Linked DNA regions of Struthio camelus. The protein of the gene in region 3 interacts with the protein of the main gene of each other region in a pairwise test. Links are inferred from orthologs where the notes say so. Each region holds a gene or a part of one and is shown on either strand. Other genes may lie near its edges.

The links. The genes of interacting proteins can lie anywhere in the genome.
Region 1: the proteins of INSR (region 3) and SH2B1 interact in binary tests that used the Homo sapiens proteins (3 or more experiments, as listed by UniProt). The link is inferred for Struthio camelus from reciprocal best matches to the Homo sapiens genes INSR and SH2B1.
Region 2: the proteins of INSR (region 3) and MAD2L1 interact in binary tests that used the Homo sapiens proteins (3 or more experiments, as listed by UniProt). The link is inferred for Struthio camelus from reciprocal best matches to the Homo sapiens genes INSR and MAD2L1.

Annotation. Positions count from the first base shown.
Region 1 is NC_090973.1:100,694-110,569, forward strand, and holds the start of SH2B1 (SH2B adapter protein 1), read right to left. Parts: upstream 4,443-9,876; 5' UTR 4,256-4,442; exon of another isoform or gene 4,106-4,255; 5' UTR 3,835-4,105; exon of another isoform or gene 3,596-3,834; intron 3,594-3,595; exon of another isoform or gene 3,492-3,593; intron 2,423-3,491; 5' UTR 2,325-2,422; coding exon 1,461-2,324; intron 1,315-1,460; coding exon 1,213-1,314; intron 1,114-1,212; coding exon 1,022-1,113; intron 809-1,021; coding exon 702-808; intron 631-701; coding exon 424-630; intron 1-423. Other genes in the region: ATXN2L (ataxin-2-like protein), read left to right, coding at 4,479-4,502, 5,113-5,255, 5,941-5,977, 6,075-6,131, 6,253-6,324, 6,413-6,563, 6,648-6,772, 6,848-6,939 and 10 more. UniProt on the Homo sapiens protein: Adapter protein for several members of the tyrosine kinase receptor family.
Region 2 is NC_090945.1:20,325,705-20,335,321, forward strand, and holds MAD2L1 (mitotic spindle assembly checkpoint protein MAD2A), read left to right. Parts: upstream 1-5,175; 5' UTR 5,176-5,300; coding exon 5,301-5,376; intron 5,377-5,539; coding exon 5,540-5,686; intron 5,687-5,797; coding exon 5,798-5,918; intron 5,919-6,442; coding exon 6,443-6,546; intron 6,547-7,325; coding exon 7,326-7,498; 3' UTR 7,499-8,181; downstream 8,182-9,617. Other genes in the region: RPL7L1 (ribosomal protein uL30-like), read right to left, coding at 9,434-9,617. UniProt on the Homo sapiens protein: Component of the spindle-assembly checkpoint that prevents the onset of anaphase until all chromosomes are properly aligned at the metaphase plate.
Region 3 is NC_090967.1:5,518,947-5,528,763, forward strand, and holds the start of INSR (insulin receptor), read left to right. Parts: upstream 1-5,883; 5' UTR 5,884-5,954; coding exon 5,955-6,033; intron 6,034-9,817. UniProt on the Homo sapiens protein: Receptor tyrosine kinase which mediates the pleiotropic actions of insulin.

The sequences.
Region 1 (9,876 bases), on a different chromosome or scaffold from region 3:
CCAGCCCTGACACCCCAAACCCTGCCCAGACACCCCCAGCACCAACCCCGACATCCCAAATCCTTCGCCAGACCCCCAGTGCCAACCCCGACACCCCAAACCCTCCCCAAACACCCCCAGCGCCGACCCCGACACCCCAAACCCTCCTGCAGAGCCCCAGCACTGACCTTGACACCCCAAACCCTCCCCAAACACCCCCAGCGCCAACCCCGACATCCCAAATCCTTCGCCAGACCCCCAGTGCCAACCCCGACATCCCAAATCCTTCGCCAGACCCCCAGTGCCAACCCCGATGCCCCAAACCCTCCCCAAGACCCCCAGCACTGACCCCGACACCCCAAACCCTCCCCAGACCCCCAGCACCAACCCCGACACCCCAAACCCTCCCCGAGACCCCCAGCGCGGTGCCCCGTCCCCCCGCACCTGCGCCGTCGGGGGTGTCGGGGAAGGGGGTGTGCAGCAGCCCGGGGGGGAAGGGGGCCTGGAGCCGCTCGGCCGCCTCCTCGATGGGGATCCGGGGGGGCAGCTCCGGCGGCAGCATCTCCATGGAGTCGAAGTGGGAGGCGGCGATGGAGACGGAGCTGGGCGACACGGAGGCCGAGGGGCGCTCGGAGAGCCCGCCGTAGGCGCCTGGGGGCGGCGGGGAGGCCGTCAGAGCCGGCCGGGGGCGCCGGGCCGGGGCGCAGGGCGCCGGGACTCACCCTGCGCCAGGTGCTCGCTGCTCTCGCCGGGCAGCAGGGGCAGCTCCCGGCTGGGCACGCTCTCCGAGTGGTTCAGGCACGGGGCGGCCGGGCTCTCCGCCTCCTCCCTGCGGGACACGGGCCGGAGGGGGGGACGAGCGCTCGTGGCCCCGTCCCCGGGGCGAGGGGACAGGGTTGGGGGGGGGGGACCCGCGCCAGCGCTGCCGAGGGCGGGGAGGGGGCAGCAGAGGGAAGAGAGGCGAGTGCGGGCGAAAGGGGCCGCCGGGATGGGGGGCAAAGGAGGCGGCCCGGGGCGCGGAGGGGGGGCACGCGGGGCTCACCCCGGGCTCATGCAGTCCTGGATGTCGGCCAGCCACGACTTCATCTGCAGCGAGTCGACCGTCTCCAGGATGTACTCGAGCGAGTTCTCCATCTGGCGGAGCGCGAGGAGGAGGAGGAGGAAGGGGGGGGGTCAGCGCTTGCTGCCACCGCGGCCCCCCTCGCCTCACCCCCCCCCCGCCGCCACCGGCACCTTCAGGACGAACGTGTTCTCCTTGTCGGGCATCTCCAGCGGCGTGGTGGTGCGCACGGCCGTCACCGCCGAGCACAGGATGCTGACGCGAGCCTTGGTGGCCTGTTGGGGACGGGGCGAGGTGACGGGGGACGCCAGGGGCTCCGGTTCCCCTCGCCTCCGCGTCCCCGAGCCCTTCCCCGTCGCTCCTCGGGGACGGCGGAGAGCGGATCCCGGCGCTGCCCCCCTCCGCCGCCGCCCGAGCCCACCTTCGGCGGGACGTAAAACTCCAGGGCGTAGCCGTCCCCGTCGCCTTTCCCGGCCTTCCTGAGCAGCAGGCGGCACCGCTGCCAGCGGGCACGGCCCCCCGCGCCCGCCCCGGGCCCGCCGTCGTCCGCCACGATGAAGTTGAGCAGGCCCTCGCGCCGGACGCTGCAGGGCTCGGCCCGGGCGCCGGGGGCTCGGCCGAGGCGCAGGCGCTCCAAGCGCTGGGCCCAGCGCTCGCCGGCGGCCGGGGCGGCATCGCCGGCGCCGCCGGACGAGTTGGAGTTGGTGTTGGCGCCGGCGGCGGGCGGCTCGCGGCCGGCGGCCGGCGGCTCGGCCGCGCCGCGCCACTGCAGGATGCCGCGGACGCTGCGGCCCACGCTGCGCAGGGAGAAGCGCTTGCGCAGCTTGGCCTTGGAGCCGGCGGCGGCGGCGGCCACGTCCTCGGAGCTGCGCGACTGGCCCCCCGGCAGCCCCGGGGCGGCGACGGCGGCGGCGGCGGGCTCCAGCGGCGAGGCCACCGACGACTCGCTGCAGGTCTCCGAGACGTCCCGGGGGCGGTGGGCGCCCGTGAAGGGGGCGATGGCGCAGCGGGGCGGCGAGGCGTCCCCGCCGGCGCAGGCTCGCGTCACCTCGGCCTCGAAGTGCTCCACGAAGTGCTCGGCGAAGCGGCGGGAGAAGGCGGCTTCGGCCCCCGGCGCCCCGAACTGCGGGTTGTCGCTGACGAAGGCCCGGAAGCGGCGGGCGAAGTCCCGGGCGGCCGCGCGAGCGTGGGTCTCGCAGAAGTCCCGCCAGCCCGGGGGAGCCGGCGGGCAGGGCGGGGGCGTCCCCCCCCCGCCGCCGCCGCCGGCCCCCGCGCTGCCGTTCATGCCGCCGGCGGCCCCGGGGGGCCCGGGCGCCCCCGCGTCCCGCGGCCCCAACGCGCTGCGGACGCCGCTGCTGCCCCGGCGGCCGCGCTCGTCCTCACCTGCGGAGACAGAGACGGGGCGGTCGGCCCGGGACCGCCGGAGCTTCCTCCTCCTCCTCCTCCTCCCGCTGGCACCGCTCCGGGCTCTCCGGGAGCCGTTCCCGGCCTCCCAAAGTCCCTCAATCTCCCCCCCAGAGCCCTCATCCTCTACCCAGCACCCCATAAGGATGGCCCTGACCCCCTGGAGCCCCCGGATCTGCCCCCCAGACCCTTCATCCTCCATCCAGGACCCCGCAGGACCACCCCGATCCTCTATGCTCTGCCCAGGACCCCATAAGGACGTCCCTGACTCCCCAAATCTGCCCCCCAGACCCTTCCTGTCCTTTCGTGACCCTGCAGGGCAGCTCTTGGCCCCGCACAAATCCCCACATCTACCCCACAGGCCCCTCTGGGACCCACACAGCCATCTCAGACCCCCCCCAGACCCCACATCTGCCCCACAGGCCTCTCACAGACCCCCTACAGCCATCTCAGACCCCCCACAGACCCCACATCTGCCCCACAGGCCCCTTGGGGACCCCACACAGCCACCCCTGGCCCCCCACAGACCCCACATCTGCCCCACAGGCCTCTCACAGACCCCCTACAGCCATCTCAGACCCCCCACAGACCCCACATCTGCCCCACAGGCCCCTCGGGGATCCCATACAGCCACCCCTGGCCCCCACAGCCCCCACATCTGCCCCCCCAGGCCCCTCGGGGACCCCACACAGCCATCTCAGACCCCCCACAGACCGCACATCTGCCCCACAGGCCTCTCTGGGACCCCACACAGCCACTCTCAGCCCCCCACAAACCCCACATCTTCCCCGCAGGCCCCTCGGGGACCCCCCACAGCCCCCACATCTGCCCCCCCAGGCCCCCCGGGACCCCCCACAGTCATCTCAGACCCCCCCCAGACCCCACATCTTCCCCGCAGGCCCCTCGGGGACCCCCCACAGCCCCCACATCTGCCCCTCAGGCCCCCCCGGGACCCCCCACAGCCACCCCCGGCCCCCCGGCTCGGCCCCCCAGACCCCTCTGGGTCCCCCGCAGGGCCGCCCCCGGCCCCCCCGGCCCCGGTGCTGACCATGGCGGCCCCGCCCCGCCCCGGCTCCGCGTCGCTGGTCCCGAGTGCGAACGGGGCGGGGGGGAGGGGCGGGGGCGGCCCGACCCAACCTCCCCCCCACACACCCGGCGGCTTCCGCTTCCGGGTCTCGCCGCTCTTCCGCTTCCGCCTCCCGAGGTGGCGCGGGGGGGTCGGAGCGCCCCCAAGTGACCGTGGGGAGGGGGCAGCACTGACCGGAGCGGCCGCCCCGGGAGCATCGAGGTGGGGCAAGTCGGTGCAGAGCGTCCCCCCTCCTTCTTCGCCGGAGCGTAGAGAGGGCGAGGAGACCAGAGCGCCCCCTCCCCCCCCTCCCCCGGCTGCTCACCATAGAGACGGGATGGCGGCGCCTCTTGCTCCCGCTGATCATAGAGCAGAAGGCTGAGGGTAACTAGAGCGGCTCTAGGAGAACCATAAAGCTGAGAAGACGGAGGCAGGCAGAGGGCCCCCAGAGAGCCATAGAGAGCCAGTTCGGCTTCTTCCACGCCTAGACTGTCTCAGCCGCCCGCTGCCACCATAGAGAGGCGAGGCTATCGAGCCCCCGCTCCGTACTAACGTAAACACCATAGAGCCAGCGCGTGGAGGACTAGAGCGTCGCCCTGCGTGAGACGTAAACTCTAGCGCGGAGCGGCGGGCGGGGCCAGAGCGCCCCCCCCACCCCGAGCGCTGGGGGTCGCCATGGAGACCCCGGTCACCCCACCGCGCGGGGGGGGACGACGACATACAACACCCTCTCTTCCCGCCGGTACCTGAGAGGCGACAGTCGCCGGGGGGGGAAAGGGGGGGCGGCGGGGTTGAGGCAGGAGCCGGGACTCGTTCCCGCGCCCCCCCCCCGCTGTGATGCGGCCGGCGGAGGGATCTCACTGGAGGCGCCCGTGTCCTCACGTGCCCCTCCGCCCCCCCCAACCCGGCCGCGAGGAGAGGCGACGCACTGCGCATGCGCCCCACCCCCCCACCCCCTTCGGCGCGCGCATGCGCGGCCGCCGGATTTTGCGGGTTGGGGGGGAAGGCAGGCGGGTAGCCTCGGCCGCGCATGCGCAGCGCGGAGGGGGCGGGAGCGGCGCCCTTTGTGGCGGCGGCGCGCATGCGCGGCGGGAGGGGAGGGGGGACTACTTTTTTTTTTTTTTTTTTTTCCCTGCCGGCGGAGGAAACGCGCGTGGAGCGAAGCCGGTGCTGGAAGGGGGGGGGGCGTTTCCTCCGCCGTCACGTGAGCAAAAAGCGAAAGAGGCCGGGGAAGGGTTATTATTAAAAAAAAAGAAAAAGAGGGAAAAGCCGGCGCGGCGCGCATGCGCGGTGTCTCCCCGCCCATTGTGCGGAGGGACACAGGGCGCGAGGGGAGGCGCGCGCGCTGCGGCCGCCGGCGCCCCGGCCCCCCCTCCCCTCCCCTCCCCTCCCCGGTCGGCTCCGCCGCGCCCGGCTCCGCGCGCGCCGCCGCCGCCGCCACCCGCCGCCGCCACCCGCCGCCGCCGCCCCGCGCGCGCCCCCGGGCGGGGGGGGAGGGAGACGCCGCGCCGCCGCCGCCGCCGCCGCCATGTTGAAGCAGCCGCAGCCGCTGCCCCCGCAGCCCCCCGCCGCCGCCGCGGCGCCGCCGCCCGCCGCCCGCAAGGCCCCGCCGCCGCCGCCGCCGCCTCCCCCCGCCGCCGCCGCCGCCGCCGCCAGCCCTAACGGCAGCCTCAGCCCCGGCGGCGGAGCGGCCCGCGGCGGCGCGGCGGGGGGGGGGGGAGGCGCCGGAGGAAGCGGCGGCACCAGGTAACATCCGGGTCCTGCCGGGCCGGGAAAGGGGGGGGTTGGAGGGGGGGGTTGGAGGGGTTGGGAGGGGGGAAAGGAGGGAGCCCGGCGCTGATTGGCCGGCGGCGCGGCCAATCAGGGCGGGGGGAAGGGGCACGTGGGGGGGTGGACGCCCCCGCCCCCCCCCCCCCGCCGCGGCCTCCCCCAAGGGGGTGGAAGGGGCCCAGGTGTCCGGTGGGCCACAAGTGCCAGTGTGCCCCCCCCCCATCAGGGGGACCAGGGACCCAGGTGTCCGGGCCCCCCCCCATCAGGGGGACCCCGGTGTCCGGGCCCCCCCCATCAGGGAGACCAGGGACCCAGGTGTCCGGGCCCCCCCCCATCAGGGAGACCAAGGACCCAGGTGTCCAGGACTCCCCCCCCATCAGTGGCACCCAGGTATCCAGACCCCCCCATCAGTGGGACCAGGGGCCTAGCTGTCTGCCCCCCCCATCAGAGGGACCCAGGTGTCCGGGCCCCCCCATCAGTGGGACCCAGGTGTCCGGGCCCCCCCATCACTGGGACCAGGGACCCAGGTGTCCGGGCCCCCCCATCACTGGGACCAGGGACCCAAGTGTCCGGGCTCCGCCCGCGCCGCGGTCCCGGAGGCTGCACCCCCCCGGCCCCACTGGGCTGCGGGGACCCGGCACATCCCTCATTTGCGTTTCAGGGGCCAGAGCACGGGGAAGGGGCCCCCCCAGGCGCCGGTAAGTGACCAGCGAGCTCGGGGCGGGGGGGGGCGGCGGCGGCGCGGGGGCCGCTGGTTTGGGGGAGCCCCTCACCCCTCCGCCCCCCTCCCCGCAGGTCTTCGAGGGCGTCTACAACAACTCCCGCATGCTGCACTTCCTGACGGCCGTGGTGGTGAGTCCGCGGGGCGGCTCCGGCGCTGGGGGGGGCGGTCCCGGCGCTGGGGGGGGCAGCTGCGGTGCTGGGGGGCGCCCGGGCCGGGCCGCGGTCCATCGCCTCCCCCTCTCCCGCCCAGGGCTCCACCTGCGACGTCAAGGTGAAGAACGGCAGCACCTTCGAGGGCATCTTCAAGACGCTGAGCTCCAAGGTGAGTGCGGGCAGCGGCGGCCCCGGCCTCGGGCTGACGCCCCCGGCCCCGCCGTGACGCCCGCCCGTCCGTCCGTCCGTCCCCGCAGTTCGAGCTGGCGGTGGACGCCGTGCACCGGCGCAACCCCGACCAGCCCTCCGGCCCCAAGCGCGAGGACATCGTGGACACCATGGTCTTCAAACCCGCCGACGTCATGCTGGTGCACTTCCGCAACGTGGACTTCAACTACGCCACGAAAGGTGCGCGGGGAGGGGGCGGTAGAGCCGCGTTGGGGGGGGGGGGGGGCGGGCGACGGCCAGGCCTCACCCCCGCCCCCCCTGCAGACAAGTTCACCGACTCGGCCATCGCCATGAACTCGAAGGTGAACGGGGAGCACAAGGAGAAGGTGCTGCAGCGCTGGGAGGGGGGCGACAGCAACAGCGACGACTACGACCTGGATTCGGACATGGTGAGGGGCCGGGGCGGGGGCCGGGGCGGGGGCGGCGAGCGGCGCGGGCGGCCTCTGAGCCCTCTCCTCCCGCAGTCCAACGGCTGGGACCCCAACGAGATGTTCAAGTTCAACGAGGAGACCTACGGCGTGAAGACCACCTACGACAGCAGCCTCTCCTCCTACACGTGAGCGCGCCGGCAGGGCCGGGGCGGGGGGAGCAGGGGGTCCGGCCGCCGCCGCGGGGAGCCCCTGGCCGGGCTGACGCCGCGCGGGCCCCCCCCCGCAGGGTGCCGCTGGAGAAGGACAACTCGGAGGAGTTTCGGCAGCGGGAGGCCCGGGCGGCCCAGCTGGCGCGGGAGATCGAGTCGAGCCCGCAGTACCGGCTCCGCATCGCCATGGAGAACGACGACGGGCGCACGGAGGAGGAGAAGCACAGCTCGGTGCAGCGCCAGGGCTCCGGCCGCGACAGCCCCAGCCTGGCCGCCGCCAGGTCGGCCCCCCCGGCCCCTCCGAGCGCCCCCCGGCCCCTCCGAGCGCCCCCAGCCCCTCTGAGCGCCCCTCGCCTCTCTCCGCAGGGAGAGCAAGTACAACCCGCTGCCGCAGCGCGTGCGGGACGGGTCGCGCGGCGGCGTGCGCTGCGGCTCCTCCCGCGGCGGGCGGCCCGGGGTGGGCTCCCTCCCGCCTCGGGGCGCCCCCCACCACGCCGAACCCGGCCCGGAGCAACGCGGCATCAACGGAGGTGAGAGCGGGACGCGGGGCCGGCGCCGGGGCGGGCCGGGGGCTCGGCCGCCCCCCCCTCCTCACCCCGCTGCGCCCCCGCCAGGGCCGTCCCGCATGTCTCCGAAGTCGCAGCGCCCCATCCGGGGAGCCAAGACGGCGTCGTCTCCGGGCGGGCGCCCCGCCGAGGCCTCCCCGGCGCCGCCGGCAGGTGGGGAAGGGCCGGGGGGGCGGCGGTGGCGGCGGGGGGGCAACCGCCAGCTCCCCCCCCCCGCTCACCCCCGCCCCTCTCCCGGCAGCAGGGCGCATGTACCCGCCGCGCTCCCCCAAGGCGGCCGTGCCCGCCCCGGCCTCCCCCCAGGACCCGCCGGCAGCCGGGCCCGCCGCCCCGGGGGAGGCGCGGACGGCGCTGGAGCCTGCGGCACCCCCCAACCCGCCGTCCCCCAAGGCCGCGGCCCCCCCGGCCGACGGCAAGGACCGCGGCGGTGCCCCCCCTTTTGCGCCCCCCGCCAAGGAGGCACCGGCGGCCAAGGACGCCGGCCGAGCCCTGGAGGCCCCGGGACCCCCGGAGCCCCCCAAGGCGCCCGGCAAAGGTGAGCGGCCCCGGGCCGGGGTGGGGTGGGGGGCAGCTGCCGGGGCGGCCCCCCCACCTCACCCCGCGCTCTCCCCGCAGCCGGGCTGCAGACGGAGCAGCAGCGGAGCCAGCTGGAGGAGCTGCGCAAGTTCGGCGCCCAGTTCAAGGTGAGGCCGCGGGGAGGAGGAGGGGGGCGGCCGCGGGGCGGCCGTGGGGCTCACGCTGCCCTCCGCCCGCAGCTCCAGCCCAGCAGCGCCCCGGACGCCGGCCTGGAGCCCTTCCCGCCTCGGGCCAAGGAGCCGCCCGAGGGCAAAGGGAAGGAGAAGGGCGCCGAGGCGGCGGGCGGCAAGGCCCCCGAGGACGGCCCCGGCCCCAAGGGCGCCGCGGAGCCGCCGCCGGACGGCGGGAAGGAGGAGAAGGCGGGCGAGGGCGGCCCCGAGCGGCCCCCGGGCACCCCCCCGGGCAAGGGCGAGGGCGACGACAAGGAGGAGGGACCCGTCTCGGAGTGAGTGCTGGGCGGTGGCGCGGAGGGGCGGGGGGCGCCGGGGGGGTGGGGAGGGCCGCGGCTCACTGCTTGCCCCCTCCTCTTCCTCCGTCGCAGGCAGGTGAAGAAGTCGACGCTGAACCCCAACGCCAAGGAGTTCAACCCCTCCAAGACGCTGCTGGCGGTGGTGAGCGGCGGCGGGGGCGGCCGGGGGGGGCCGGGGGGAGGCGCGGGGCGGCCCCGCTCACCCCGCGCTCTCCCCGCAGAACAAGGCCGCCAGCACGCCCACCTCGCCGGGGCCGCGCACCCACTCCACCCCCTCCATCCCGGTGCTCGCCGCCGGGCAGAGCGGCATGTACAGCCCCCAGTACATCTCCTACATACCTCAGATCCACATGAGCCCCGCCGTGCAGGTGAGCCGGGGGGCGGCGGCGAGCCGGGGGGGCGGGGGGGACCCAGGCGTCCGGGCCGCCCCCCTGAGCTCTCCCTCCCCGCAGGCGCCCCAGATGTACCCCTACCCCGTCTCCAACTCGGTGCCCGGCCAACAGGGGAAGTACCGGGGGGCCAAAGGTGAGCGAACGCTGCCCCTGCCCGCCCGTGGCGCCGGCCCCACGTCGCCCGTGGGGCCGGGGCCGCCCTGAGCCTCCGTCCGTGTGTGTCCTCCCCCCAGCAGGGTCGCTCCCCCCGCAGCGCACGGACCAGCACCAGCCGGCATCGGCGCCCCCCATCATGCAGGCGGCGGCGGCGGCGGGGCCTCCGCTGGTGGCGGCCACCCCGTACTCCTCCTACATCTCCTACAACCCCCAGCAGTTCACGGGGCAGCCTGCCATGATGCAGCCCATGGCTCACTACCCCTCGCAGGTACAGGCGGACGGGGAGGGGAGCGGGTTGGAGATGCGGGACAGACGAGGGCGCGTGCGTGTGTGAGACAGGCAGGGAAGAGGGGCTGTGGCAGCGGGTGATACAGACAAGGGTGGTGTGCTACAGGCAAGCACATTGTCAACACACAGAACACAGTACAGGCGGAGGGGTGTGGTACAGCTGGATGGGGATGGGGTTGTGGCACAAAGAGGAGAGAAGTGACTCAGCACTGTACCTGGATGACGTGGCTGGATCCGAGCGATACAACCAGACGAGGCTACAGGCAGACGAGCCAGGTGCAGCAAAACGCTACAGGCAATCACAGGGTGTCAGGCAGGTGAAGAAAGATGCCCTAAAGCTAAGCTGGAGTTATGTGGATAGGAATGCAACAGTCGGACAAGGGGGAACATAGTACAGTCCACCAGAGAGACTTGCGACACAGACAGCACGCGACAAGGATCGACAAGGAGAGCGGGAACAGGGAAG
Region 2 (9,617 bases), on a different chromosome or scaffold from region 3:
TCTTTTCATTCTATAGGAAGGCCAGCACCTAGTTGTAGCTCCTTTCAAGCTAAGTGGTGTTATTACACTGGCTTAAATGAAGAAATAATTTTTTTTTTCTAGGAGAAAAATAAGTAGTCCATTGAATAAGTCTAATTTCAAAACACACTCAGTACTGCAAGTAACATTTAAAGTGAAAAGTAATTTTAAAATGTGTTATACAGCGTTCAAAACCAAAACGAGGCAGTTCCTTCGAGAAGTCTGTTCATCATATTTGAGGTTCTAGTGCCGCATATTAGCACATACTGACTCATTGCAAAGTCAATTTCTTTTTAATGAATATTTAACATTCAATACAATCTTCCCCAGTCGCACCACCCCTTCAGTACTGAAAAAACATCATAGAAGGAAGATAACAGAGTCTGTCTGACAGAAACAAATCTCTCTGGTTAATTAAAGCTCCTTCTTACTCCCTCATTACTCCCATTATCATACTTATTTTTGATGACATAGTTCAGCTATACAGATGTAAAACTGTTGGTGAAGGAATACAGTATTGTTACTTATATTAATATCTCATGGCTTATGCTTTAAAAATAAAGAGCTTGACAAAAAATGCTATAGTTATTGTGACAGTTGATAGCAAAGCACCTGTACTTATCCTGTAAAGTTTAATGCTACAAAGACAGTCATTAAAAACAAACCTGATCAACAAAACAAAATAAAATAAAAAAAAAAGAATGGAAACAAAATGAGCCTGGTAATAAAATGCCTGTCAAAAAGTGCAGTGTTTTACATTAATTTTACAGTTAATTCCAGATAACAATAAATCACCAAAGAAATCCTGGATGAAAGCTGTGAAGACACAATGGAAGGGAGCAAAAAATCTCACACATGGCAGAAGTGATTTAAAGATTTAGAAGATTTAAAAATATCTTGTACATATGGGAATAGTGGTGGTGTTTGGCTGTACTGGTGGCCTACCCTGTGTCCAAGAAAAGCTTCTCCTGGGAACCACCCAAACAAACACTCCCTCCTACAGCACAAAGAACCAAACAGCAATTTCACCAAGAAAATGGAAGCTCAGTCGACTGAGAACTGTCTCAGCTCACTGAGGGGAAAAGACAGCATTGGGCATGTGACCAACAAATACTGCAAGCTGGGCTGAGGAAGGAAGGGAGCAAAAAGTCTAACCTACAGAACAAGAAGGAGCTCAACACCTGCCATGAATTTTGAGAGCTGCCAACTACAGCAATGGGCAGCACTCTAAAACCCTAAGGAGAATCAAAGGGACACAGAAAAAATAGGAGGGAAGAAGGCAAAAGGGTGAGCTATTTCTATGGGCTCCTAAGTAAAGGATCTCCTCCTTCAAGTGCAGGAAGAAATGGCTCTAAAGAGATTGAGATCTACTAGAAAAGGATAAGCACTAGGGCTCTCTTAGCCAGGGTAAAACCTCCTTTCTCTGCTCAGGAAAAACTGAATTTACTGAGGCTTAACATGGCACCTCGTTAATGTGATAAGATGACTTTCGTAGCAAAGAAAACTTTCATTTTACAGTCTGTTTTACTACACTGAAAGGAGGGGCCTGTCACTGTTATCCTGAGGTTTAAAAAAAAAAAAAAAAAGAAAGAAACACACATCTCAACAACTCAAAGCTTTATCACCAAACGACTATGGGAGCATGACCTCAGTTACCTTGAAAAAAGTGAAGCAGTACCAGTGATTTGGACGGTAACAGATTCATTGACAATTGCCATGGGAAAGCAATTGTTAAGTGTTACAAAAAAGCCAAGCTAAACAGGGGACGTTTCCTTCCACAACATGAATTAAAAACAAAAAAAATCTGTCAGAACATGAAGCTGTAATTGAGAAGGAGAGTAATGACTGAAGAATCATAAGAGAACTAAATTCAATACAACTGGGACTTCACATTCCTTATGAAAATTAAGATTTCAGCGTGAGATAATTAAAGCAAGGATAGCCAACTCATGATGTGCCAAAACATATAACTCAGCTTGTCATCTTCATTCCTGAGAGTCCCTCAGAGCTGGTCAGGAAGCAGGCTGTCAGCCACACAAATCATTCACTAACCCACAGCAGTCTCCCTGCTGCTCTCCTTTAGAGCCCCATAGCCTGCCATTCGTCATGTAGCTGGACATGCCCTAAACACATCCTATAGGCATAATCATTGCACGGAGCATGCCCATTCAGTAACATGACAAAAGGACTTTATGTACATGGGTCCCCATCATACAACAGTGCTCTGATGGGGCCATCGGGCTATGGTCAAGTGATGGCTGCAGATCTAATTACATGACAGATGAGTGCAAGCTCCTGGAGTGCCTCTATTAGGGGATATTGGCTTGACCTGGCAGAAAAGCTGAGTGACAGTGACCTAAACAAAGTGAAGAAAATGAAGTCAGGTGTTGTGAAGCTTGGGACTTGTAATGGGGAAACAAAGATGAGATAATGGGAGAACTTGAAGGAAAAACAACAAACACACACTGTCAAATAACTAAACCTTCATGCAAGTGAATTATTGGGGTGAGGGGGGGAAAGGACAGGAACATCTGGATGACACGAGAAAGAAAAAAAATGTGAAGAAGAACATTCTAACAAAAGAAACACAAGGAGTAAGAAAAAGAAAGATGCTACTTCATGGACTAAAAAGATTGCACTTTTCAGAACTAATGAATTGGCCACTGAAAAATAATACCTGCTAAAAAACAAAGAGAAATGTTAGGATCTTTGCATTACAAAAGAAATTCAGCAGTATTAAACACACATAGTTTTTATCATTAGATTACATTTCCGTATATAGGAGAAATTTAAAGCAAAACAGTGACAAGTACTGTAAAAGGGGAATGCATTCCTCTAAAGAGACAGAGAAATGCGAACTGCACAAAGCAAAGGGGCTTTTGGGGGTAGGGGAGCACATCACGAGATGCAAGCCACTGTAAACTGCAATAGAGAAATAGAGAATCAGGAATAAAGAAGCGTTGCAAAACACTGTGAAATATCACGTGCCAGGTTCACCGAATGCAGCTTAGAACTTTAACAGAGGTATCAGGGATCACTCCTGTCTCTCATTACCTCCCAAACGAATGTTGAGAGAAATACGTAAGATGCAATTTAAGTCTGCTGTTGACAAACATATCAGGACAGTCGTATCAACAACAGATCTTCAAACCATCCAGCTGAAATACAGTGAAATGAATCTGTGGTAAATGAATTCATTATTGCTCCGGAAGACTCTTAGGAATCTACTAGAGCTATACTTAGCTGAATTTTGCTTCCAGAGGCATTTGTTTTTTTCTTTTTCTTCCATTTTAACTGTTTTAAACCAGCTGAAGGATAAATGTGTAAATCATGATCATAAGCTCTAATACACTTGCCTGGCCTCATGCAACAGCACTTTCAAGCCCTTTTTTTCAAAAAAATGAGCAGCCCTCCAAAACCCTCAGAGAAAACAAAACAGATGAAAAGCCACGTGGGAAAACAACAGTCCTGATACCATTTTGGGACAGAGGAAGAAAAGCATGATAGCACTTAAAGGTTTAAAAGAAAATAGCTGATATTCACAGCAATCCAGTTTCAAGATTAACAGTGCTTTCATAACATAGAATTTGAAGTATACCACACTCAATCAGAAAACATTTTTTTCAGAAAACTAATGCATAACACAATCATCAGTGATCATGACCCATTATAAAGTTCTCTAGGATAACTACAAGATTATTTAGACACTTTCAGAAGTTCAACACATGGTTTCCAGACCATACTATTTGCTTTAATCTCAGCAGCATGAACCTTGAAGCAAATGGTACTTCGTAGTGCAAAATTTAGTTCCAACAAAAATTCTTTGCTGATTTAGTTTTTTTGAGAAGCATTTTACTACAGCAAAATAAGCAATCTCATTATCAAGTCACTCTTTTAGCAGTTGGCCACTGCACTGTGTAATGATCATACAGTTTTTATTCTGTGTTTAAAATATTTTACCTTTACTTTTGTCATTTTATTTTAAGGCTGCTCTGATTAGATTCTTTCAAGGCTAACAAGGGCATCTAAAATAGGTATGTTGTACATAATGACATGTATTCTTTTCAGACATTTCAGAAAAATAAAATTCAGGGAAGCATTTTATTTGCAGCTCTTCTGTGCCTAACATATGCATTCACCTTTCACTTAGTGCTTCCTTGGCTGTTGATGTATCAGTTGGCTCATTACTGGCCACCTAGCTATTATCCCAGTAAACTATGGCTTCTTCTCTTCGAGATACTATTTAAATATCCCAACACTTAAGATGTACTTGCTGTTTCACTTCGTCTCTCTTACCTGTTAACCTGTGGCAGTGTTTCCTCCCTGCGATAATCACGACTAGCTGCAGGGTTTTCTTCCTTGCTGTCCCTGTAATAACAGGATTTAAGTGCTTTGACTAACTGGCAATTTCCCTACGAGATAGTCTGATGGGGGGGGGGGGGGTTGTATGTCCAGAGAGATGACTTTGTGGGTCCCCTATCTTTCTAAGTGCTTATTTTTAAGTGCTTACTTTGTGCGTTTCCCATTATCCTATGGACTTACAGAGAAATCGCCTTTTTTTGTTCCCCTTACTTAGGTTCTTCCTGCCTGTCTTCTGACAACGCTTGCATAAAAATCGTCCAGAAGCAATTAGATACCTGCTTCACTTCATTCACGCTACAGCTTGGTTTACCGGCGAGAATCGCAGAACAGAATATCGTTTCTGTGTTCAAAAGTGCCTTCATACAGGCAAACGCACCTGAATTCTTGACACTGAACTTCCAAGCACGCTTCTGTGAAAAGCCACGCTCCGCCCGCAGGCTGTGCCTCCCTCAGCCCACACACCCGTGGCAAAGGCACATTTAACTTTTTTTTTTCCCCCCCTCCCCCCCAGGTAGCTGCCCCACCTGCGCCCAATCACCGTTTTCATTCGGCTGGTCACGGAAAAGCAACCCCGCTTCCCCACCAAGAGACGCGCTCTGGCCAGGCAGGCGGCGCACGTACCCCCGCTCCCAGAGGCGAAGGCAGATGCAGCCGCCCAACCACCTCACAACCGGCCCCGAACGCGGCGCGAGCCGCCCACCCCCTAACGGCTGCCCGCCCCGCCCCGCCGCGCGCACGCCCACTAGCGCCAACGGCAGCCCAACGGCCGGCGCACGTGCGCGGAGGGGCGGGGCCGGCGCGGCCTGGCTAGCGCGCGTGCGCCAGAGCGGGCTGACGACAGAGGAAGAGGCGTTGGGGCAAGGGCGGGGCTTGATTTCAAACCGGGCGGCGGGGAGGAGGCGGTTGGGCCCGGGGCCGCGATGGCCAAGCAGCTCGGCCGGGAGCAGCAGGGCATCACCCTGCGGGGCAGCGCCGAGATCGTCGCCGAGTTCTTCTGTAAGCGGCTGCGGGGGGGGCGCGGGCGTGCGGGGGGGCGCAGGGGGCTGCTCCCCGCCGGCCTTCGGGCCGCCATGGCGGTCGGGGCGGCCTGGCCCCGTTCCCCCTCTTCCCCCCCCACCCCCTGCCTCACCCTGCCCCGACCTCCCGCCGTGTGTTGCAGCCTACGGGATCAACAGCATCCTCTACCAGCGGGGCATCTACCCGCCCGAGACCTTCACCCGCGTCCAGAAGTACGGGCTCACCCTCCTGGTCACCACCGACCCCGAGCTGAAGAACTACCTCAACAACGTGGTGGAGCAGATGAAAGGTGCTGGTGGAGGGCGGGGGGTGCCGGGGCAAAAGGCTGCTCAGGCCTCCTTGCTGGATTTCTGCCTATCCTCTTGCTCATGCTGTGAGTAACTGCTGTGGCTTCTTTCAGAGTGGTTGTACAAGTGCATTGTGCAACGGCTGGTGGTGGTAATCTCAAGTATCGAAAACAACGAGGTTCTTGAGAGGTGGCAGTTTGACATAGAGTGTGATAAAGCTGCAAAGGATGAGAGGTGAGTACCCGTGTTCCTCTGCGCCTGCTCTGGAAACACAGTGCAACCAAGATTGCCCTTCCCAATATGAGTAGGGAAGATTTCTCTTCAAACCTATTACCTAGCCTGCTGCTATTCCTTTTGTTCCTCTCTAAAGCAGTTGTTGTAGTACTGCAGCATACATAATCCTTGTGTGCTGTAAAAACAGTATCAGATAAAAAATGTGATTTTTTTTTTAATCTTCAACAAAACATAAAATTGCATGCCCTTAGAGAGCTAGTTTTGCTTTCCTATTGTTCTGCCAAAATACTTTCTCATTCACTCCACACTGAAGATAACAGCATCTGGCTTTCCTTACAAGTACTGTGAAGCTTCACAGAATTTTCTAAGCCTGTTTACCTAAGACGGAAATGAATGTCCTTGCTACGCAAAGCTAGCCATATAGCAAACAAACCAATGGCAGCATAATATAACACTGTATTTAATGAAAGCTGCTAGTGTGGCAGAAGACTCCTTCCCTAACAAAGCTTTTTTTCTTCTTCTAGTGTACCCCGAGAAAAATCTCAGAAAGCTATTCAGGATGAAATTCGATCTGTTATCAGACAAATAACTGCTACAGTAACTTTCCTGCCTTTGTTGGAAACTGCCTGTGAGTATTCCTGACTTCACTACAGAAATCAAGCACTTCTTGCAGAAAAAACCTGCACAACTTTTCTATTTTAGAAAACCTTTTTGTTTACCTTCTTAGTTTTTTTTATTATGACATGAAATGTCACACACTGTACCATATCTGACATGAGATTGAAGTTTGTTAAACAGATCACATCTCCTGCAACTGTGCATAAAACTGAAAAGGTATGTCAAATCAAGTATTTCATCTTAAAGAATTATTCCGTACTGCTTATTCTACAACAAACAGTAAAAATCATTAAGGTAAATGCTGTTCTCATTGAAGAACTTAAAGCAACTTCATTTGAAGGGACTAGTGGTACGTTCTGCCCTGAAACACTTATAAAACTTCTTTTGTCAAAACGACAGAACTCAAGGTGGTTTAACTGGCTTAATGAAACCAGCAAGTATACTTGGTACTCTATATAATTCTGTATGACAACAGCTGTGAATAGACTTTTATGAACACAAAGCACAGAATCTATCTGAAGCAACTACTATGAAGAACTCAGCTGCTTTAACCCAGTATTTTTTTTTGAAGAGATGTTAAATTCAAACCTTTGTTTAAATAGAAAACTGTCTACTAATCTGATTGTAGCCAGGACTTTCCATTTTTAAACATGCTTCCTTCACATAACTAGCATCACCGTAATACCTTAAACTTCTACTAAAGTCTCATCTTCTAGAAGAGGCACTTAATCTTCAAACAAGCTGAGTTTTACGCATGTTTTACTATTAACTTTTCCCCTCTGCTTATAGGTGCCTTTGACTTGCTGATTTACACAGATAAAGACTTGGCAGTGCCAGAAAAGTGGGAAGAGTCAGGGCCACAGTTCATAGCCAATTCAGAAGAGGTTCGTCTTCGCTCCTTCACTACCACAATCCACAAAGTGAATAGTATGGTAGCTTACAAGAAGGATTCATTTCCTTAAGATGTACTTTTTGTCATCGGTATCCTGTCTTGTGGAGCTGCACTGTGAACAAACTAAGTAATCAACAGAATCCTGTTACTGTGGCTGAGACTAAGTGTAATACAGAAAGAAGACAAAGCATTCTTCTATGATTACAGATACTGTGATGTCACACTAGTCTAAACCGTCATCCTTTTCAGGAGGTATATACAGGATTTAACTATCGTTAGAAACTACTTATGCTTAACAGTCAATGGTGTGTTAGGCTATGCTGAATCAGCTAGAGACGCTGCCTAAAGGCAGGATCAGTTGCTGGAACGGTCTTAAGAGCTTAAGTTACAGGATCTTAAGATTAAAATATAGAGTTCCATTAGCACTCTTCAAGTCTCTCTTTTGGTATTTAAAAACCCTGCTCTTAGCATACCAGCTTTTCATGGTAAAAGTCTAGGTTGTTGTTACTATAAACAATCCTAAAACTAATCAACAGAAAAATTCTATGTATAAAAGTTACTTGTACCTCCTAACCATTGAAAGCAGCTGTTTATCAGAAAAATCAAATGTGCAAAGTCATGTATATTAATGACTCTTCTCGACTATGTAGTTTTTGAGGATCTTGTTCCAGATTGGTGTGTACCTATTTCTTCAGTGTCTGTCAAATATCTATGTTCGTATTTGTGTCTTTACAGAATAAAGTTGTGCCAGTTTTCAAGTGTTCTTTATTTCAAAGTTTGTTGCTCCATATGTTAGATGGTCTATATACTCCAGATCATAGTAGGTACTTCTTAATATTCACTTTTATAGCAGCAAACTCATTTAAAGTATAAATAGTTTATAACAACAGATGGCATTGTTCCAGAACCTAGAGAGTTGCATTTATTGGCCCAGGTCATAAGTCATACAACGTAAGAGTCTTTCAAAAGTTTTTTTAAATTTATTTAAAAATCACTGATCTTATATATTCTATAACATGGCTGTAGAGTTGATGGGCTTTCCTACTGGAGAACAGTTGATCTCCAGCAGTCTTGACATACTAAAGGATGTCTTTCAGGTTGGGCTAAGTTAACAGCACAGAATCATGGCTTCTAAAATAAGTATGATTCATGTACTTCCAGAAATGCTGTTATATTTTTCCCCACCAGTGCTTGTGCTGCAGTAACTGAGGAATACAGCGAGTACTATTTTGCTGACAGGAAGAGAAAATAATTGTAAGCAGGTGACTGTAATACCTGCGTATACCTGAGAAGTGCACTTCATCAGCAAGTGCAGTTTCAAGCACTTAAGGAGAACTGGATCAAAGCAGTAACAATGCAAATAAACTGCCAAAGAAGTTTAAAACAATACATGACAACCCATGCTTGTTGCCAAAGTTAGGGGCAGGAGGTGGCGGATACAAAACTGTAGTAAAGCATCTAAAAAATGTGTTTTGTTGACACACAGAAATGGGCTTGCTCCAGAAAGTTCAAGTCACCTCTTTGTTGCACCAAATGCACCTTTTCTTCTTCCTCAACATAGGCCACCATAACACACTTTAGTAAAAAGCCAGCAACAGTCAGGAGAGGGTTGTAATATTTCATAGCACAGAGCCAGATGTCCATGAAAACTACATTTGACAAGGAACAGCTCATAAATCCTAAAGTTTTCACAAAGACCCTGCAGAACACGAGACCAAAAAAAAAAAGTTTAACAGTCAATTTAAAACAGCCTCCCTTAAGTCAGGCCTTTAAGAAGTCCAGTAGTATTTGCCAACGCCTGACAGGCCCCACAATCTTCACATTGACAGCCATTCTCATTTCCCTACAAGTACTTAAGTTTCCTCTGCCTTGGACAGTCACTTTTGTACAAGGAAGAATCAAAAACAAAGGAGTCCTTCTCATCTCCGATGGCAGTAGAGCTACTCTTAGGAAACCAGATAAAGGGTAAGATTTAGAAGTTACCCTACAGGTGTTCCTCACCTCATCAGTTCAGCTGACGTATAAGCTGGTTGATTCCTTCACCTCTGCAGCCAGGTTTGCCCATTTCCTTGAGGAAACCCACTTTATTATGTGCAGCATGGCGAGCCACTGACAGATGGAACGGCCACAGAAAGTCTGTGACTTTTTGAAAATATTTCCCAGCTGAGTAGATTTCATGAATAAGATCT
Region 3 (9,817 bases):
AATCAGGCAAGACTTTGTGACATTTCATAGATGGAGTGGCAGCTTTTATTTTTGACTAATGTATAGGTGGTGGTTGGATGATCTGCTAGTTTAGCCTGCAACTCCATTTAATAACATCGTGCTCTGATATGTTTCTCTTTACAGAATAGTGTTATATACAGAAATGGTTTTCTGGAAGTTGCAAACACTGTGAAGTGAGAATTGCTTAACTTTCCCAAAAGCTTGGGAAATCCAAGTGGAGAGATGTTTATCAGGCGTAGGGTTGGGCCTTGGTTGGCTTCTTGGCAGGCTACCTACTTTCAGACAGTAAGTAACAAAAAAAAAAAAATCTTTTGGAGACTTGGGTCATGTCAGGTCAGCGAAAGCAGCAGTTTTTGAGCCTGGCAGCAACAGAAACTATGGATCAGTCTAAGCTTTTCCGCCAAACGTTCTTGGCGGCAGACTCTATATACGAGATTTAATTTTTGAGCTGTATCCTCAAAACACAGCTAGATTTGATTTAGGATTTTTAGAGTATATAGGCTGTGAGTGCATGAATAGGGGGAGCAAAACATTGTATGCAATGCTTCCTGTGGCTGGGTAATGAATATTTAGGCTTGTTTTGGGCATATGTTTCCTTGGCTTTATCTAACAAAGCTACTGTGTATTAGACTTAATAGGCTGTGAGCAGCCTTCCAAAACTGGTAGCTGTTATGCCAACTGGGTATCTTTGTAAAAGAATGAAAAAGATGGAGTGACGGCCAAGGTTCTGTTCTGAATCTTTGCTCCCTGTGTGATACTGGGCAAGTCACTTCCATTCTCTTTACCTCTGCTATAAAACTGAAATGATACCTCAGAAATCAACATCTTATAACTAACTACTAGTCTTAAGCATGAAAAAAGTGCCAATAACATCTTACAAAATCTATTTCAACCATGATAACATAGCAGAGAGGAGCAGAAAACAATAATCAAATGTCTTGCTCTACAGTAGCATGTTGCTACTGTTTCAGAGCCCTACAGCTCAGTGCAAGATTGGCTCATTGTTCTTGTGATCAGGATCTACCACGTTGCTGAGGCTTGTTCTGCTCACACCGTGTGTTCCCACTGAACAGGAGTGACATTAAAAACTGACGTAGCTAAATCAACACCACCTGTCACATGAGACCACTGTGACATTTCTGTCATGAACACTACCTCCTAGTAGGAGATGAAGTGGGAAGCAGCAGCAGTTAGTGAATAATGGATTAGATATGCCTGACTTGTAACATTTACAAAGCACTTGGGTGTGTCTCCTAGCTACAGAACAAACTGGTTATCAGAATGGTAACTAAAAGTTCTGTGTTGCCCAAATTGCAAAAACTGAGATAAAGCAGTGTGGCGCATGCAGTTACGGTTTGCTGAACTCTGCTGTGCTGCCCGGAAGGTTGTCCCTCCAAAGTAGATTCTGGATCAGCAAAAGCGTGCATTAGTAAATAAAAGGTGTACCGTAGATGAGAACTGGTGTAGCCAGTTGGCGGCCTGGGGCATGGCATGCCCGTGCTACGTACGGAGTGTGACTGCTGCTGCAGCCGCTGGCTTGCCCATGGCTGTTGATAGAGAACAGCATGCCTGGCAGCAGTGGAGTAGGTTGTGCAAACCAGATACGGGGTTTGTTTAAGTGGGTTGTGAGAAGCTGTAGGAAAGAACAGTGGAGGGGGCAGTGGATGAGGAGGCTGGAGGGGTCTGAAGGCAGTTGTACTATGGATGTGTATTTGCCTATCTTAGTGTGAAGCTGTGTCTGGCTGTCTCCCAGCTGAGCCCTGCTCGCTGACACAGGTTGGGAGCGTTGATTGTCGTGTGGGTCTTGTAGCAATCACAAAAAATCTAGTAACATCCTGAGCTGCAGAGGGTGATACTGAATTAGAACATGAATGTCTTGATAAGGAATGGAAATTAAGTTGAATATTGCATTCCCCTCAGTGACATCCAAAAACGTAAACTGGACAAAACCAGAAACCGAACAACAACTAAAGATACAAGGAGGCAGCATTGCAGTAGGCCATGAACAGCAGTGATTTCCTTTGCATCCTTCATCTCCACTTTCTCTGGACTCCATGTGGCAGAGAGATGCCCCCTGCCATTTTCACCTTGAGCAGCAGTTGTATCTGCTAATGCAACAATAGAACTGTCCAGAAGGATCTGACAAGGTTTCCTGTTTCGACAGCAAAAACCTGGGACTTCTTTCCTTAGCACGTAAAGTGACCGGATCTTCATCCTCCGAGCTTTCTTCCATTGAGAGGAGAGTAGTCGCTTAGCGGATTTGGTGTGGACGGAAGGAAGGGAAAGAAAGGAACTTTGTCAATCCATGACGTGAAATATTTTGTATTAGGAGATTTGGCAAATAGTTCTGTGTGACTGCAAACAGGATGAGATAAATTTCCCAAGGTCAGCTCTCCTGTACACTTGGCTTTCGGGCTAGTCACTGAGAAGTCAATTCTGTAACCTTTACAGCAACATCCTGCCAGTGATGCAGACACTCAGCTATTGTTGGCTTCAACAGCAACTCTTCTGCATCTTCAAAGGACAGGAGGCTGAATAACGTACGTGCTGCATGGTGAGAACTTGAGAGCAGGAAAGTGGGCTTGAAAAATCAATTCTTAATAAAAATAAGGCAGCCTGAGGGGGATCCCAACAAGAACCTTTTCCTCCCTAACTTTTTCCAGGAAACGCTTTTCGCCTAGGGAATTGGAACCTGTTCTTAGGAAAGGGCAATGTTCTCTAGTGAATGAAGCAGAAGGGGGGAATGCTGAGCGCTTAGCTCTCCCTTCTGGCTTGCTATGTGGCTTTGGGTCACTGAACTGTTTCTCAGCTATTTTGTTCTTAAAACAGGATCACTACTGATGTACCTTTCTAACAAGTTAACTGCTGTAACGCTCCTTTTGGGTGCAAAGCTTTGTGTTCCTTGAATCTTCCTGGACGGACCAGTTAGTATCGTGCTCTAAGTTCTTTTGTATAGCCATAAAATAGGCTAAAAAAAACCCCAAGCACAGACCTCTGCTTGTGTGTTTGTTTCCAGTATATGTTTCGTGAGAAAAAGAGAGATCGCATTTTCAAGACAGCAACCTTTGAGTAAACTCAGATCCTCAGAGATCTGGAAGCCATTCTGAGTTCTCTCTTCACACGTAGTTGTCAATAGAGAGATGTGACTGAGCTCCAATGGCAGTGTGCAGACTGTTGGGTTCAGTGCATCTGCACTGCTGTGGACAGCAGGCCCTGGAGGTAAGATTTCGTGGGGAATTGTATTAGTGCCTAAAAGAAACAGAAATCAGCTCAGTCTGTCTCAGCTTTAACTCAAAGCAGGGGAAAACAGTGAATACAGCGATAAAGCAGCCTGTTTTGACCTTTTCAATAGGTGGAGGACAAGACGACTGACCCATTTTACAAAGCCACCTCCCATACTCAAAATGCATGCCAGCTCACTCATGCAAAGGTGGCTCCTTCTATAGGGATGTTACTGGCTGAGGTGGGCTTCCAAGGACGTGCAACTCCTAGCAGCGTCCTAGCAGAACATCCTTGACCTGAGGTCTTGCAAAGTTACATTTGCAAATGTACGCTTTTCCAGTATGAAATTATTGACACAAAGAGGAAAAAGAAGTTAAATGTCAGAAAAGAGTATCATCTCAAAGTTCCTTTTTCTTTCCTAGCATTTGTTACGTATGATTCATTTAAGCAAATAGCTGCTTGAAAAGAATAAAATAGCCTTATATTTTGTGGGGTCAAATAGGTAAATACCTTCTATTTCAAGGCTCCCTGTATTTATTTTCTTAGGAGGGCTCAGAAATGAACCAAAAAGTCCTCAAGTCTCACAGGTCATAGCAGACACTTATCACTGCTTAGTTACAAGTTGTTTCAAATAAAACATCAAACATTTATGGAAGATAAAGGGAGAAAGCAGTGTAAATATTGTTGAAGAAGGATGTAGTATTTAATGCATCAAACTGATGACTCCAGGACACTTTTTCAAGTCAGAAATTAGCAGAGAGCATGTAGCGCAGCTAATAAAATGAGTAAACAGGTGCTGGCTGCCCACAGTGCAGCCCACATTGCTACTGTTGGTTTATCTGATTGCAAACTTAGTGTACTGTAGCAAGATGAATATGTAGCAGTGACGGTTTGGGAAAGATGCTGGAAAGATTGCACACTGATGTTCTTAATCAGTAATTAGAAACTAAAAATAGTATTTTAGTGAAAGATAATAAATCTGTAGCCTTTAATCCTTCTGTGCCAATCTGTAAGCTGATATCATTATTATCTGAAAGGCAATGAGAACATAAGTGAGTAAGCAAGAGTAGGTTGCTATTACAGACACGTTATAAATTCCACATAGCCCAAGCTGTCTAGATGATGTTTGGCTGTATCTGCTGTATGCAAAGTGAATAGTCTTAGGGCAGGTTCATCTGCAAACACAGAATGCATACTTTTATTGGGTATTTCCATGTCTCAGTTGTCCTTATGGACCTGATCGCTTTTTGTCATAATTCTTCAGGAAATAAGTTCTGAGTCCCCTCTGCACTTGGGAGTAGAAGCATTCATTTGAGAAAATGAGCTGAGCGCGAGAACAGGCATGTGGGGAAAGAGGTCCCGGGATGGCAGTGCTGACACACGAGCAGGCTCACTCAACAGCTACCGTGCTGTGCAGATGCACGTTTGCTCTTGCTACAATAATCACAGAGAAAGCGTCCCCAGTTAAACAGGACCTTTCATCTACACACTTAAATACTATGCACCTACTGAGATGTAAGTTATTAACTGTGTTGGTACCTGTGTAAGAATAGTGTTTAAATACTAAACTAAAAAAAAAAACTGAAAAAAATAAATTATTTAAAGTAACTTAGTAGAACCCACCAGCCGTAACCCATCCACCTGAGAAACCTCAACCCATTTCAGAGCGTGAACCACCCCAAACTAGACACAATTGGGTAATATCCCCTGTTAATGGCTTCGCTCAGCCACAAAGTGCAGATGGGAACGAAGGAGAAAAAGCCATCAAAGGCTGGATCCCACTGGAGAAAGACAACCAGAAGTTTTGAACGTGTATTTGGACCGGGTTCTGGGATAGCACGAGGAGCAGGACGCGGCAGGCACTACCGTCTGCCGGGGCTCTGCAACGCGAGTCTCCGGGCGAATTCCTCCTTCCCCAAAGGCTGTAATGGGAGAAAGAGGGAAAGCGATGCAAAGCTGCCAGTAAGACGTCAGCGTGTGGGGAGAAGGGCCCCGCTTTCCAGGCGGGCTTCAGGCCAGCAGGGACGGCGAGCTCTTTCAGCAAGCCTCGACTGCCCCACGTTCCCCTCGCTTGATGCCAGCGAGGCCGAAACGTCTCCGCTGGCAGCCGCCGCTCCCAAACGTTTATCCCCGATGCGAGCTGCGGCAGAGGCGTTTCACAGCAGGCCAAAAGACCGCAGCCGCTTGTTGCCTTCGGTTCCCCCCGCAGGCGCCGGGGCCGGAGGCGCCAACGGCCCTGGCCGGAACCGGCTGGAACCGGCCGCCGCCGCCGCCCCTCGCCTCAGGGCCGCCCGCGCGCGGCGGCAGGTGGATGGCGCCGTCCCGTCCCGTCCGCTGCGCGGCTCCGCGCCGCCTCTTGCCGCCGCCCCGCTCCGCTCCGCTCCCAGCTGACGGGGGCAGCCCCTTGTTTACTGGCCGCGGAGGCAGCCGCCAGCCCGGCCTGCGCTGGAGCCGGAGCTGGAGCTGGAGCTGGAGCGGCCGGGGCCGGGGCCGCGGGGCAGGGAGGGGCCCGCCGCCCCGCTTCCTGGGGCCGCCGGCCGGGCGCTATAAAGGCGGCGGCGGTGCTGCGCAGCGCAGCGCGGGGCTCTTCCCGACGATGCGGAGCCGGAGCCGGGCCCGGCCCCCGCGCCCGCCCCGCCGCCTCTGATTCGCCCCTGCCGGGACGCGCCGAGCCGAGCAGCGGCGGCGGCTGCAGCTCCAGCGACGCGGGCATGGGACCGAGAGCGGCGGCGGCGGCGCTGGCCGTGGCCGTGGTGCTGGCGGCCTGCTGCGGCCGGAGCCGGGCGGAGAGTGAGTAGGGGGCGGCGGCGGCGGCGCGGCCTAGGCGGGCGGCGGGGCGCTGCAGGTGGCGCGGCGGGGCGCCGGGCGCCGTGAGGCGGCAGGGAGGGAGGGAGGGAGAGCGGGCGGGCGCCGCGGGCCCGGCCCTGCCGCTTCCCCCCCCCCCCCCCAACCCTTCCCGCCGCCGTTTTACCCTTTGTACCGGCCGGGGAGCGGCCAGGCCGCGCCGCGGGGCCGTGGCGGCCAGCCGGGGCCTGCGGGGCCGCCCGCGGGGGGGGGGGGGGCGCCTCGGGTCACCTTCACCCCTCGGCTTTGCCTTGTGGGCCCCGAGGTGCCGAGCGGGGGGCTGCTCCAGCCCCCTCCCCGGGCTGGCCGTTCTGCCGTGATGTTTGTTACTGCTCCGGCGTGTTCTGGAGGCTCCGGCTGACTCGGGCTTTGAAAGCGCGTCTCGGATGCGGCGCTGGGGGGGATAATGGTGCCGTCTGCGCCCGGGGGGGGGCTGCCCGGAGCGGGGGTCTCGCCCCCCGCCGTGCTCCCCTGCCGCTGCCCCTTTCGGGCTGCTCTCAAAACGAGCTCTCCTCGCAGAAGCCTTTTTAGCGTGCCGAGGCGTCGCCTTAGGAGCTTGTGTCCTTAACCGCACAAATACTCCTAGGTAGGCTTTCAAATCCGCAGGTATTAGAGGGGGCTGGAGCTTGGTGGTAGGGATCTGCGCGCAAGCCAAGTCTCGCGAAGTACAAAACAGGGGTGTAAAAACGCGTGTTGGAGGTGGCAGGCTTGTGAGCTTCGTGGCTGACGTGAGTTGAGACTAGCCTTGTGAGCTGTTCCGATGGGTTCTCTTGAATAAACTTGCCTAAGGAATTGTTCTAGTTGGACGTTTCTCTTTTGAATTTTGGGGGACGTTCACAGAGTTCTTTTTTATTATTGCTAATTTTTTTTTAGTAAAAGGAAAATATTTGTTTAAATAGGACCGGACACTGAAGTTGTCTATCCCATAGCTGCTACCTGGGAGCTTTCCCACTGGCAAAGGCAATAGCAGGCAGGTAGGCTAGAGCCTGGACGTTGCAACGGTGGAGTCTTTTGAGAGGTGTGTAATGGTGAGGGAATAAAGCAGGACCTACCTTTCAGACAGCCTTTCTTCTTCTTCTTTTTGCCAGCGAGCTGGCAAAATTATGCATTTAAAAAATATGCAATTTCTTCTTCATGTATGCCTTCATGTTAGAAGACTTGAAAAAGACCAGTGATAAGTTTTTAACCTAGGAGGTTAAGCTGTAGCTGGCAAGCATGTACAAACCTGCCCATCTCCAGCAGAAAAATGTAAAAGATAATTGGCATATAGCATTGATAATAAATAACTATAAAATAACTTTAGTCCAGTGGCTCTGAATTTGAAAACACTACCACTACTACATTCAGTCTTCTCTTATCCTGTTCTGCTATTTGGGTTGTAAGTATGTTTATGATCATAGCTGCCCAATCTTTGCTGCATTACTGTGTGGTAGGAGAGTATGCTTTACAATTCATCGATGGAGAAACGGGAGCGATGCACAAGATGGCAAAGCCTGTAGCAAAGCCTGGGATGGAGTGTTTTTATATTGTTCATGTAGCGCGAATACTTTTCGAAGTATTTTACAGACTGTTTGGAATGTGAGGTCCCTAATTCAAAAGATTTTCAGCTTCTTGGCTTTCATTTTCTACTCCGTTTTTCTGAGAATGGTTAGACCATACTGGACTACAATGCGGATCGAAAACAGCACGCTAACATGAAGGCCTACATCAGAGTGGCTTGAAGGGTAAACGCATGTACAATAGTTGCATAAGCAAACAAGTTGTTCCCTGAGCAACGGAACTAATGAAGTCTGCTTTCTTGGAGATTTGTGTCCTGCGTTCTGCACAAACATGCACCCTGATAATGCCACTCTCCAGTGACAATATTCCCCTGGTCTCTAACCATAGCATTTCCTGTGCCTTCTTCCTCCCTTTGCTTCTTCGAGACCGTGCTGTAGTTCCCCTCGTGTCCCGTAAGAGGCTGGGCAAAAGCAGCAGGTAGTACAAAAGGTTTTGAGCTGTGCGTGCAGATGGGACAGTAGACAAGCTGGATGGGTGGTTGGAGTTCACCCTTCAAGCTTTTTCTTAATGGAGTTGTTGAATTTTTCCTCCTTTCCCATCCCTAGTTTTCTTGAGTCTTTTAGGAACATGATGTAGGCGAAAACTTTCCTTTCCCGTTAGACTGAAATTAGTTGGTGTGTTCAGAAGCTACTGAGAGGAGCAGGAGCACGGTTAAGAGAATGAGAGCTGACGTGCGTGCAACGTGAAGATGCACATATCTTGCTTTGTGGAGAAAAACGGCTTTTTTGTTTTTTACCGCTGTGTAAACACAATGCAACTTCATGCAATAACTCTCACCTATGACTCATGCATGTCATTCATTAGCTGTGATATTTAGAGTGGGGTTTACCTCACCTAGTTTTAGGCATCTGCCAATCGAGCAAGTTATTTTGGCCTCCTTTTGTAGCTGTAGAGACCTAATCAATATAGTCGGGGGTATTTAGAGGCAATTCCTCCTCTCCTAAACCATTTGCTTACCTTTGGTCGCTGTACTTGTTCTCCGGTGACTATTGATGACAGTGGGAGTTAGGCATTTAGCTGAGATGTAGGTACCTAAATTAGGGACACATTGGGACAAATTCCACTTCTTACTCTTGTGGTAATGTTCTTTTAAAATAATCTACTTCTAAATTATGCTTCCTGTCTCATACTTTTTTTTTTTTTTTGGTGCTCATGAACTCCTTAAGAAACTGTGGCCCTTTTCCCGTCTCAACTAGTTATTAATTTTTAATGACGAGAGACTCAGCCTAGAGTGAAATTGCTCCCAAGAGTTTAAAGTAGAAAGAATAACTGCAACAGGGCAGGGCTGTGTCAAACCTAGGCAACCGTTTTGTCTGTCGGCTGTCCCCGCGTGCCCTCTGGATGTTCTAGAGACAGGTAGTCCGTTAACTGTCACTGAAGAGTTTGTACATAGTTTGTAACTTCGTTAGTTTGTGAAACCCATAAGCTTTCTGGAGGTCAATTTTGGGATGACCGTCTCGTGGAATATGAGTCATGTTGATATTGGCAACATATCAAATCTGTTCCTGCTCCCTTTGCAGTAAGCAGGATCTTACGGTCTGTTAGTACTGACTTTGCACGCTCCCCTAACTGATCTCCCGTGGTCCAGGGATGCTCTCGCTTCACTGCCTTTTATCTTTGCGTGAAAAACATAGCAGCAGAAATCTTATTTTTTCCATTACTGTTTTTTGATTTTTAACAGGAAGAGCAGGATGGTATAGTAAACTAGGTTTGAGGCAAAGGCACAGAATTCAGTGGGGCTTTATAGGCTTGGTGAGGTTATATATGCTTTTGGCGTTAAAGAAAGCAGTCTCCACGACAGGTTTGCCCTCGGTTCAGCGCTGATCTCTTGACTAGTGGGAAGATCTCGGCCATCTGAGATGTTATCTGGGCAGACCAGAGGCTTATAAACAGACTCGCTTTTAAATGCATATCTGAATTTACTCGGATCTAGATGGCTGAGGTGGAAAATTAAAGTTTAAAAATGAACTTTTCACAATTAGATATTTTTCTATTTACTAAACTATTGTTCCAGTAGGTTGGAAACTGCCTTACTGTCCCTTCTGCTGACCTGTCACTTAACTGGATGTTATCCTGTCTCTGTAGTTATCCCCCGAAACACTTGAAAGCCCTTTTTCCAATTGCCTACTATCACTTCTTATCGTTATAAAGAACTACAAAGCTTTTGATG